3 linked regions of the Saccharomyces cerevisiae S288C genome follow. Changing the gene in region 2 together with the main gene of any one other region gives a genetic interaction. Each region holds a gene or a part of one and is shown on either strand. Other genes may lie near its edges. The genes, in order: ERO1, GPI18 and GPI16.

What was found.
Region 1: mutations in GPI18 (region 2) and ERO1 together harm fitness more than expected from each alone (negative genetic interaction), as found in Saccharomyces cerevisiae (2 studies listed by BioGRID).
Region 3: mutations in GPI18 (region 2) and GPI16 together harm fitness more than expected from each alone (negative genetic interaction), as found in Saccharomyces cerevisiae (2 studies listed by BioGRID).

The regions. Positions count from the first base shown.
Region 1 is NC_001145.3:11,315-14,914, reverse strand, and holds ERO1 (ER oxidoreductin), read left to right. Parts: upstream 1-1,740; coding exon 1,741-3,432; downstream 3,433-3,600. Other genes in the region: COX14 (Cox14p), read left to right, coding at 162-374. UniProt on the Saccharomyces cerevisiae protein: Essential oxidoreductase that oxidizes proteins in the endoplasmic reticulum to produce disulfide bonds. Acts by oxidizing directly PDI1 isomerase through a direct disulfide exchange.
Region 2 is NC_001134.8:243,782-247,617, reverse strand, and holds GPI18 (GPI-anchor transamidase GPI18), read left to right. Parts: upstream 1-1,950; coding exon 1,951-3,252; downstream 3,253-3,836. Other genes in the region: UGA2 (succinate-semialdehyde dehydrogenase (NAD(P)(+))), read right to left, coding at 1-608; RCR1 (Rcr1p), read right to left, coding at 1,071-1,712; COQ1 (trans-hexaprenyltranstransferase), read right to left, coding at 3,388-3,836. UniProt on the Saccharomyces cerevisiae protein: Mannosyltransferase involved in glycosylphosphatidylinositol-anchor biosynthesis. Responsible for the transfer of the second mannose to the glycosylphosphatidylinositol during GPI precursor assembly.
Region 3 is NC_001140.6:481,938-485,773, reverse strand, and holds GPI16 (GPI-anchor transamidase subunit GPI16), read left to right. Parts: upstream 1-1,936; coding exon 1,937-3,769; downstream 3,770-3,836. Other genes in the region: ERG9 (bifunctional farnesyl-diphosphate farnesyltransferase/squalene synthase), read right to left, coding at 1-929; PTH1 (aminoacyl-tRNA hydrolase), read right to left, coding at 1,174-1,746. UniProt on the Saccharomyces cerevisiae protein: Component of the GPI transamidase complex. Involved in transfer of GPI to proteins.

The sequences.
Region 1 (3,600 bases), on a different chromosome or scaffold from region 2:
CTTCCTTACTTCTGAGCTTTGCTTCTCCTTCCTTGCGATTAATGTTACCCGGTATACGAAATCGGAGAGGATCAGAATAAATGCATTGAAAGGAGCATAAATCTATACAGCGGTTTGGCAATGGTGAGAGGAAGAGAACAAAAAATAGAACGCAGATAGTCATGTCCAAATACGCTTGGTATACCAGAGTTACAGATACATTACATCGTCTAACGGTACTGACGTTGGTTGGTGGTACGTTATACATGTCGGGTGGCTTAGCTTACACTTTATACATGAACGGTAAGAAGTACGAACAACAAGTGACCCAACAAAAGGCACTTGAAGAAGACAATCAACAACTGCAAAGTCCTACTGCACCTCCTACCGAGTAAACTGCGAGAACCCAGTGCTAATAAAATGAAGAAAAAGTACTAGATTACATTTTTAAGTGTTGCACTATATTCTAAGGGCCTCCATCGACGTAGTGTGCTGGTTCCACCTTCTCCTCATTATCATGCCAATATTTACGAACCTGTATATAATAATTAAATCATAAGAAACAACAAAAATAAATAACATTGCTGCCGGATTCCCGTAGGCAAAACTAACATATATATCGCTGCATGCCTTCCTATTCCTTATCAGGGGAAAGACTGCCACTGAGGTTTGAGGCCAAAGGCTGAAACACTTTTCTTCTAAAATGTCGTCTATTCGCCATCTAGTTTTTTATCTGACTATTTCTCGCTGTTTACTTTTTCTTACTGCCATTATGTAGGCCTTTTGAGTCAGCTTTGTGAAGAGATCTTATTACCTTAATTCTTGCTGAAAAATACATCGCAATGAAGTCACTTTCGTGATGGAAAGAACACGGCGGTAAGAATACGTTCCTTTTTGTGCTGTGTACACCCGTAAAATTGTACATTATTTATTTCAAAATATATAACAGGATCCCTCCAGTGTGTCTGAAATGATGCAACTCTGATACTTCAGAGTCGTACCCTTATTAAATACTAATGCCGAATATAGTCATCCAGTAGCCATAGTTCACACACACATTACTTATTCACCACATAAAGAACTAGAAATGCTTGCTAAATATCGTACCTTGAAGGTAAACATTAAGGCCCCCCAAAAGCATATATACATACTGGCAACACAAAAAAAGTAAATTGCCAACCACCTACCTTACATATGGTTTGCCCATCCTACATTACCAATACTATCAAGACATTTCTTCTGAAACATATTCACAACTGAAACGAGATCATTTTCTTATCTATCTATTGAGTAATGCTTACTTTTCATATTTTCAATGAACAATAGGATATGTAGGAGAATTGATATATTCACTGCGTATCAGAGAAAAGGTCTACTGACATTTTATGGCAAATGTATTCTACACAAATCGAGAATACCACAGACAATGGTACAAGACATACACAAAGAGAAGACTGTTCTAATTAAACAAATAATATTGAGCTACCTGCTAAGTATGTCCTTTTCCCTTTGTCCTTTGGTTTCTCTTATAGAAGACCCTGGAAATTTTTCGCATTTTTCCGGCTTTGGGCGTTAGTAAGAACAAAAAGAAAAGAAGAGAACAAAAAAGAAACGATACGGAGTACGTGTCATAAAAACTTGTTCAATCATCCTTGAAGCTAAGTATAAAGAGCTTGAAAAGGTTTACCACTTAAACTGGTTATACTATTTCAAGAGTGTAAACATTTTATTGCATATACCACAGTAACGTGCAGGTAAAACATGAGATTAAGAACCGCCATTGCCACACTGTGCCTCACGGCTTTTACATCTGCAACTTCAAACAATAGCTACATCGCCACCGACCAAACACAAAATGCCTTTAATGACACTCACTTTTGTAAGGTCGACAGGAATGATCACGTTAGTCCCAGTTGTAACGTAACATTCAATGAATTAAATGCCATAAATGAAAACATTAGAGATGATCTTTCGGCGTTATTAAAATCTGATTTCTTCAAATACTTTCGGCTGGATTTATACAAGCAATGTTCATTTTGGGACGCCAACGATGGTCTGTGCTTAAACCGCGCTTGCTCTGTTGATGTCGTAGAGGACTGGGATACACTGCCTGAGTACTGGCAGCCTGAGATCTTGGGTAGTTTCAATAATGATACAATGAAGGAAGCGGATGATAGCGATGACGAATGTAAGTTCTTAGATCAACTATGTCAAACCAGTAAAAAACCTGTAGATATCGAAGACACCATCAACTACTGTGATGTAAATGACTTTAACGGTAAAAACGCCGTTCTGATTGATTTAACAGCAAATCCGGAACGATTTACAGGTTATGGTGGTAAGCAAGCTGGTCAAATTTGGTCTACTATCTACCAAGACAACTGTTTTACAATTGGCGAAACTGGTGAATCATTGGCCAAAGATGCATTTTATAGACTTGTATCCGGTTTCCATGCCTCTATCGGTACTCACTTATCAAAGGAATATTTGAACACGAAAACTGGTAAATGGGAGCCCAATCTGGATTTGTTTATGGCAAGAATCGGGAACTTTCCTGATAGAGTGACAAACATGTATTTCAATTATGCTGTTGTAGCTAAGGCTCTCTGGAAAATTCAACCATATTTACCAGAATTTTCATTCTGTGATCTAGTCAATAAAGAAATCAAAAACAAAATGGATAACGTTATTTCCCAGCTGGACACAAAAATTTTTAACGAAGACTTAGTTTTTGCCAACGACCTAAGTTTGACTTTGAAGGACGAATTCAGATCTCGCTTCAAGAATGTCACGAAGATTATGGATTGTGTGCAATGTGATAGATGTAGATTGTGGGGCAAAATTCAAACTACCGGTTACGCAACTGCCTTGAAAATTTTGTTTGAAATCAACGACGCTGATGAATTCACCAAACAACATATTGTTGGTAAGTTAACCAAATATGAGTTGATTGCACTATTACAGACTTTCGGTAGATTATCTGAATCTATTGAATCTGTTAACATGTTCGAAAAAATGTACGGGAAAAGGTTAAACGGTTCTGAAAACAGGTTAAGCTCATTCTTCCAAAATAACTTCTTCAACATTTTGAAGGAGGCAGGCAAATCGATTCGTTACACCATAGAGAACATCAATTCCACTAAAGAAGGAAAGAAAAAGACTAACAATTCTCAATCACATGTATTTGATGATTTAAAAATGCCCAAAGCAGAAATAGTTCCAAGGCCCTCTAACGGTACAGTAAATAAATGGAAGAAAGCTTGGAATACTGAAGTTAACAACGTTTTAGAAGCATTCAGATTTATTTATAGAAGCTATTTGGATTTACCCAGGAACATCTGGGAATTATCTTTGATGAAGGTATACAAATTTTGGAATAAATTCATCGGTGTTGCTGATTACGTTAGTGAGGAGACACGAGAGCCTATTTCCTATAAGCTAGATATACAATAAGAGCAACACAGTTTATCTTATATGTATTCAATGTATAGATTTCAAAATATAGAGTTTAAATATCATTCAAAATATTCAATAAATTTTTCCTTTGAAAATTTAGGCCACTAAAAAATTATAAGAGCCAAAACGAAGTAGATACAATAATAAAAATAATATAGTCATATC
Region 2 (3,836 bases):
GCCAAATATGCCATTGCTAAAGCAGATAGCGGCGTTTGAGAGTCTGGCTTGATGACTACTGTGCAGCCCACAGCTAAAGCAGCGGCGGCCTTTCTCGTGATCATGGCGCTCGGAAAATTCCATGGACAAATTATACCGCATACACCAACAGGTTGCCTAATTGTGAATACTCTGTTGTGAGGGTTCAAGGGTTGAATAGTAGCACCATATAAACGGGGTGCTTCCTCGGCGTACCACTCAAAATACGAAGCCGCGTATTTGATTTCTCCTTTAGCTTCCCCTAGAGCTTTACCATTTTCTAAAGTAATGATGGTTGCCAGATCATCCAAATTTTCAAGCATTAAGTTATACATGTTTCTGAGCCACTTTGCCCTCTCTCTTGGTGTTGTATTCTTGTACGTCTTGAAAGTTTCATAGGCAACATCAATCGCTTCCTCAACCACGGAGACTGGTTGTTCGGGAACTCTTGCTATGATTTCGCCGGAAGCAGGGTCTACCACCTCAAAAACTTCGTCAGTGCCCTTAACCCATTTTCCGTCAATATAACCAGATTCTCTGAATAAATTAGGGTCGTTTAGAGTTGGTTTAGAATACTTACTCAAAGTCATGTTGAAATAGTAGTTTGTAAAATTTGCTTTTAATGTAGCTGGTTTTCTAGCTTAATTGATCAAATAAGAACAGAACAATAAAGGACGTTGCGAAATAATATCTATTGATCTCTGACGAGTATTTATACCCTATTTCCTCTCCATTACTGATGGTGATGTGATGTGATGTGGTGCTATCTTGTCACCCTTAATCCATTGGCCGCCTTTGCTAATCCCGCGCGCATTTTCCCTTTATCACCACCACGCCGTGCGATGGACTTGAAGTATTTACTATTGATAAAATAATACTGAGAGATTAAAGACAATGTACTGAATATAAACTATAGCACTTCAACGACCGCGGGCCTGAAGCGGATTAGGAATTAAAATAATTATTATAGAGATTGGGTAAAAAAATGTAAATATTTCTGGCAAAATATTGTAACTCAACTGTAAGAGGACAGCCGGAAAAAAAGATTCAGTTCATGACCTTGCATTTACCTTTGCCCTCTCCGGTGGGTTAATTTCCTGCGTTGTAGTCCCGCCCGGAAGCCTTTCCAATTGCTCCACCGTATCACTTACAGCTGGAACGCGCCCATTGCTAGGCCTTGTTAAACCGTAATCCGTATCTAAAGAGTTAGCTTGGTGAACTACAGCAGCGGGAGGTCTTTCTAAAGAATTAACAGATTCTGATGAACATTCTTGTACCAATGGCGGGGGGGCCACGTATGCAGCCTTATCGTTGGGGTGAAACTCGCCCCGCTGGTCATAGTATCCAAGATCATGTTCGTTCGCTGTTTCTGTATACTCAGGAACATAATCATCTGTCCGTTGCTGAACGGTCCCAGTATATTGTTGCTGAGACTGTCTGTATGAAGGCGGTGTCAACCATGCCGTACCTCTAATGGGAGCACGCCCCATCCTTCGTCTCCTTCTGTTCGCTACAAAAGTGAACAGTATTATAAGGATTACTGCGGCAACAAACAGCACAAACAAAATCCATATTCCTGACTGCCATGACGACGATGATGGCCCATAGTAACTAGTCACAAATTTGCTAACGTGATGGTTATCTGCCTTTTTCACCTCGTTTATCGCCTCATTTTCGTATGAAATAAGTCCCATTCCTTATTCTTAATTCGAGTTATACTTTCCTATTTATTGGAATGATCAATAAGCTATTACAGGTGCCTTTTCTGCATGAGCTTCCTGTCGGTCATTTAAATACTTAAAATAGAAAATCCCTTTTAAATCAAACTTTTTTTTTCAAGGCTTAGTTGAAAAAAAAAGTAAGCCTCATCATCGAAAAAAGACATAAAAGAGAGGCTTCGAGAGAGGAGGCGGAATAAGACTAAATTAAAATATGATTGTGGGGTTGACACTTTATTTTGTATTATTCCGTTCAATACAGTATTTACTGGTTTTTTTGACTCCAATTAGGCAGTTTGATACATCAACATCACTTTTATTAAACGAATTATGTTCTTCTCCCTCTGAAATCAACAGTTATTGGAACAAGTATTTTTGGAATAAGCTACTATCATGGGACAGTGTTTTTTTTATCAAGAACATAACTTCCAAAAACGGAAAACCTCAATTTGAGCATGAATACGCGTTTTCTCAGTTGTGGACTTTTTTCGTTAGGCTGTTTATTAAAAGTAATAACGATAGCATCTACCATGCCTTAAGGGTTGGAGTTGCAATAGAAAATGTTTTATTTTACTTGTCAGGTATTGTTTTATATTTTCTAACAAAAAAAATTTTCAGCCAAAATATAAGGCAATCACAGTTTGCTAGAACTATCGCTAAAAAAACATCTCTGTTGTTTTTCTTAACGAGTGCCGCTGGATTTTTAACAAGCATATATTCTGAACCATTATCTTTTTTTTTTGCATTTGTTGGTATTTGGAGTCGTGAATGCTCCATTTCCGTGCCCGTATTGGGTCAATTCGATATTTCGTGGAGATATTGGTTTCCTTACTCCTTTATCAGCATGGCTTGCTTTACCTTAGCATCCTTGAATCGTTCAAACTGTGTTTTGTTAGGGATTTACTTTATTTTTGACCTTATTGAACTAACAAAGAACAGGAAGTTTGTAAAAGCAATATGTTTCCCACTATTATCAGGATCATTAATGTTTTCTGCTCTACTATATCAACAATATTACCTACCATATAAGACATTTTGTCCTCAAAGGGGTGAATGGTGTAAATCTCAATTGTTTTCAAGCATTTTTATCACGAAAACTTCTTTATATTCCTACATTCAGAGTCATTATTGGGGAGTTGGGTTATTGAAATACTGGACCCCAAACAACATCCCAAACTTTTTGTTTGCTGTCCCAAATATTATTATTTTAATCTATTCCTCCATATATTTCAGCAAAATTTATCCCTCCTATAACTTGAAGGCTCTCGTATGGATCACCAGAGCACTGGTCGTCATAGTATGCTTTTTTGCCCATGTCCAAATTCTGAATCGTATAGCCTCCTTTTTACCCTTGCACCTTTGGTATTTGGCTGATAGATTGGTTAAAACTTCTGATCCAAAAAAAATGGAAAATCCGAAAGGTGACGATAAGATAGTCAAGTTTTACATATACTGGTTGGCATTCTGGATACCTTTACAGACTATCCTATTTGCAGCTTTTTTACCACCAGCCTGATCCTTAATGCTTGTATATTTCTTCTTTTACTAAAAACATATAAAAACTATTTACATATAGAATATAGAATAATGCGACACTATGACCTTCTTCATTTTCTCTTTATTCTTCACCCTTTATTTGAAATTTCAAGGTTTACTTTCTTCTTGTTAGTATACTATTAGTTAAAAACTCTAGGGCAGAACGAGCATCAGATTCAGGAAGAGAATCCCGTAGATTTTGTAATGCCTTGTCCCTATATTCCTCCGCTAGTATTTTCGTCTTCGCTATACCATTATGGAGTCTCACAGAATCAATAGTTTTTTCAACATCACCCCTCTCTGAAAAATTGCGTGAAATTAGTGGACCTAAAGATGGGTCTTCTTTCCATGCAAACAAGACTGGAGCAGTAGCAATACCTAATTTTAGATCCGCGCCGGATGGCTTCCCTAAATCTTTTCCAGACACAGTAAAATCAAGCATATCATCTACGAGTTGGAAACATATACCTAGATTTCTACCGAAATCATAGCATTCGTCGATAACGGCAGGTGATGCCCCAGATAATATAGCAGCACATCTGCAAGATTTTGATATCAAAGCAG
Region 3 (3,836 bases), on a different chromosome or scaffold from region 2:
ACCAAAGCCAAGGTTGCAATGGCCATAACTTGGGGAATGGCACAAAATTGGAAAGTGGATTGCTCGTGGATACCGGCCAAATAAGTCAACACATCGATAACATGACTCAATGCGTTTAAGACGAGGTGGTTTATACAGTCCAACCCCAGTTGTTCGTTTTCAGGTTTCATGAAGTCCTTCAACTGAGGAGCGTATTGTGACCAGATTTCCTTGGGCCAGAAGGATCTACCATCGACCAAATCTTCATTGTAATCTCTGATGATGTTGGTTTTTTGTAGGAAAAGACCCATGCTTTCATACAATTGCTCATTAGAATACAAAGATTCGTTGGCAAACTTGGCAATGACAATCAAACGGGTCAAACCATCACCGACCAAACCAGCTACGTAGTGACAGTACACGTCGTAGTCGTGGACGGTTTGCAACCCATTCAAGTTGTAATTTTCATCTAAGATGTAGTCGGCCATACCATTACCCATTTTCTCGGTGATCTCCTTGATGACTTCTTGATATTCTGGTTTCAATTTGTGGAATTCAATAAGAATCGATTCGAAATCTGTCAAAACGGCTCTGTCCTTCACATCGGGGGCATTTCCGTCGAAACTCCATTTAGTTAACAACAATTTCTCGTGGAAGTGACGCAACAAGTCAATTTTCAAATCGTGTTCGATGGACATATCGTCTTCGATGGTATCCAAAGCCCTTAAAATCAAATAAAAGAGAGTAACACAGTTTCTCAATTCTGGATGCAGCTCTCTGATCACAGCAGCAAACGATCTGGAGGTCAAGTTCAACAGTTCGAAACAGTGCAAGAGATATGGAGACGTGGACTGATCATAGATGGAGAATAGCGGTGTTCTGCAAAACTTCAGCTTCAAAGCTGCCTTCATCTCGACCGGATGCAATGCCAATTGTAATAGCTTTCCCATTGTGTGTGTGTGATATGTGACGTGTATACGTTTTCCGCTTCTGCTCTTCGTCTTTTCTCTTCTTCTGTGCTCTTATTCTTTGCCCCTGTCCTAACTTTCCATTTATATAGCCCGTGGTCGTGTTCTCGCTGCTCGTTTAGGCACTAAACCCAAAACCGATAACGCCTTCCGATGCAAAGTGCAGTGGAAAAGAAAAAGGGCAAAGCAAATAGGATGGTAAGTCGGTATTGTTGTTGAAGATGGGCTATGAAATGTACTGAGTCAGAGCACGCCAGGCAGCAGGTTCACTCTGTGTAAGCAAGGTTTGTAGTTCCTGCGGAGTTAGAGCTCCCAGAACCCACCGGGACACGCTCGCAGGGTCTCTAGAACGGGACCCAGGTTCTCTGCCGATTCCAATAGCCAATTTGGCAAAGGGTACACGGCCTCCACTGCATTTTAGCAGGCTTCGCAGCCCATTATGACCTCTAATACTGGTGCTGGGGGCTCTGAGCTGCACTTTTCCACACGCCACACTTAACTCGTCATGAATAACTACGTGTCGGGCTTGGTACTTGGCGTACCGGGCCCAGACCTTGCACACCTGTTCTCCACTTAGATTCATGTACTGGCCATCCGATCTTAGTATCGTACAATGTTCGTCTTCTATATAATGCACTTTGCCGCCCGTATTAGGCACAGGGGAATAAGTTCTCCCCTGCAGACCAAGCCGCTTTCGTAGCAGCTCCAGCATATATAGCCCTACATTGTGACGGGTACCAGCGTACTGAGGCTCTGGATTGCCTATCCCGGTCAGCACTAGTCTCCATTTACCGGACATCTTCCTTATCTGCCTAGAGTCGACTTGTTCCTACCTACTATTTTGCATATTATAGGAATAGTTCGAGATTATTTGAAACCGCCGGACCTTTTTGCGCTGGGCGATCTTTTACACGTAGTTTTAGTAGCCAATAAGTAAAAGGAGAGCGGAAACAAGTGTTCAAAGCAAACAAAGCATAGGCAAGACGACGATGATCCTCACACTGGCCTATTTCATGCTGGGCACTCTACTACTGGGTGTGTTCGCAGAAGACACGGTGTCGCAGATTGGTATAAATGACAGTTTATGGTATCCGTACGACGAAGCACTGGTGTTGAAGCCGCTGCCCAACAATGATCTGCTACTCTCATTTGCATTCCAACTGCAATCGGAACCGTTTGACCCGGCCGTATCATCCATGTCATATGATGCGTATGAGCACTACACGACTTTCCCACGGGCCATCCCACCATTGTTGGAATCTACTGCCACGCGTCAGTTTCATTTAAGATTTACCAGAGGATTCTGGGATGCCCTGTCGTGGGGACAGTTGCCACATGCTGGAAAAGAGGCAGGTGCCTCAGGTGTGGAATTGTGGTCGCAAGTGCAGGCCATGGATCAGGAACAGGCGTTCCATAATTGGAAAAAACTGTCCAATTCATTGAGCGGATTGTTTTGTTCTTCTTTAAATTTTATCGACGAGTCAAGGACGACCTTTCCCCGGCGGTCATATGCTTCTGATATAGGAGCTCCTCTTTTCAATAGCACCGAGAAACTGTACCTGATGCGAGCATCGTTGCCCAATGAACCCATCTGTACCGAGAACTTGACGCCGTTCATAAAACTATTGCCTACTAGGGGCAAATCCGGTTTGACATCTCTCTTGGATGGTCATAAATTGTTCGACTCTCTATGGAATAGTATTTCCTTGGATATTGCCACTATTTGTTCTGAAGATGAAGATGCTCTTTGTCACTACGAGATGGACGCACGCATAGAAATGGTAACACACGTTCCCTCCGCCTTGGCAAGAGGTGAGAGACCTATCCCCAAACCTTTGGATGGGAACACATTGCGTTGTGACACGGATAAACCCTTTGATTCTTACCAATGCTTCCCTCTACCGGAACCTTCGCAGACTCACTTCAAGCTGTCTCAGCTGTTTGCCAGACCAATAAACAATGGCAACCTGTTTGCTAATAGGCCCACAAGAATTTGTGCAGAAGTTGACCGTTCTACCTGGACTGCGTTTTTGTCAGTTGACGATACTATTTTCAGCACACATGATAATTGCTTTGACTTATCAAACGATCAAAATGAGGGTGGTTCGGGCTACGACTTTATTTTAGAATCGACGGACACTACTAAAGTTACTCCCATAGTTCCTGTCCCAATTCACGTAAGCAGATCTCTGACTGGTAATGGACAAGATCGTGGTGGAATGCGTATTGTTTTCCATAACGACAATGATACCCCTGTGAAGTTGATTTATTTCGAATCATTGCCATGGTTCATGAGAGTTTACCTATCCTCTCTTCAAATTACTTCTACTACCTCTCCGCAATTGCAAGAAAACGATATCATCTTAGATAAATACTATTTACAAGCGGCCGATAGAAAAAGACCTGGCCACTTGGAGTTCACGATGTTAATTCCAGCTAATACGGACATTGTAATGACTTATCAATTCGATAAAGCTCTTCTGCAATTTGCCGAGTATCCACCAGATGCAAACCATGGTTTTGAAATCGATGCAGCTGTAATCACCGTGCTATCTTTGGAGTCCTCATCGTCTCTTTATGAAATGAGAACCTCTACCCTATTGTTATCCCTGTCTACACCGGATTTTAGTATGCCGTATAACGTCATCATTCTAACATCTACAATCATGGGACTCATATTCGGTATGCTATACAATTTGATGGTGAAGAGAATGGTCACCGTCGAAGAGGCCGATAAGATTACGTTGCAATCTGGCTTAAAATACAAATTGCTAAAGCTAAAGGAAAAGTTCCTAGGGAAAAAAAAGACTAAAACAGACTAACAATCTAGCATCTAGATATGTGTATGAAGTATACGTAGTTTACATAATCTGGAAGCACTCACTATTT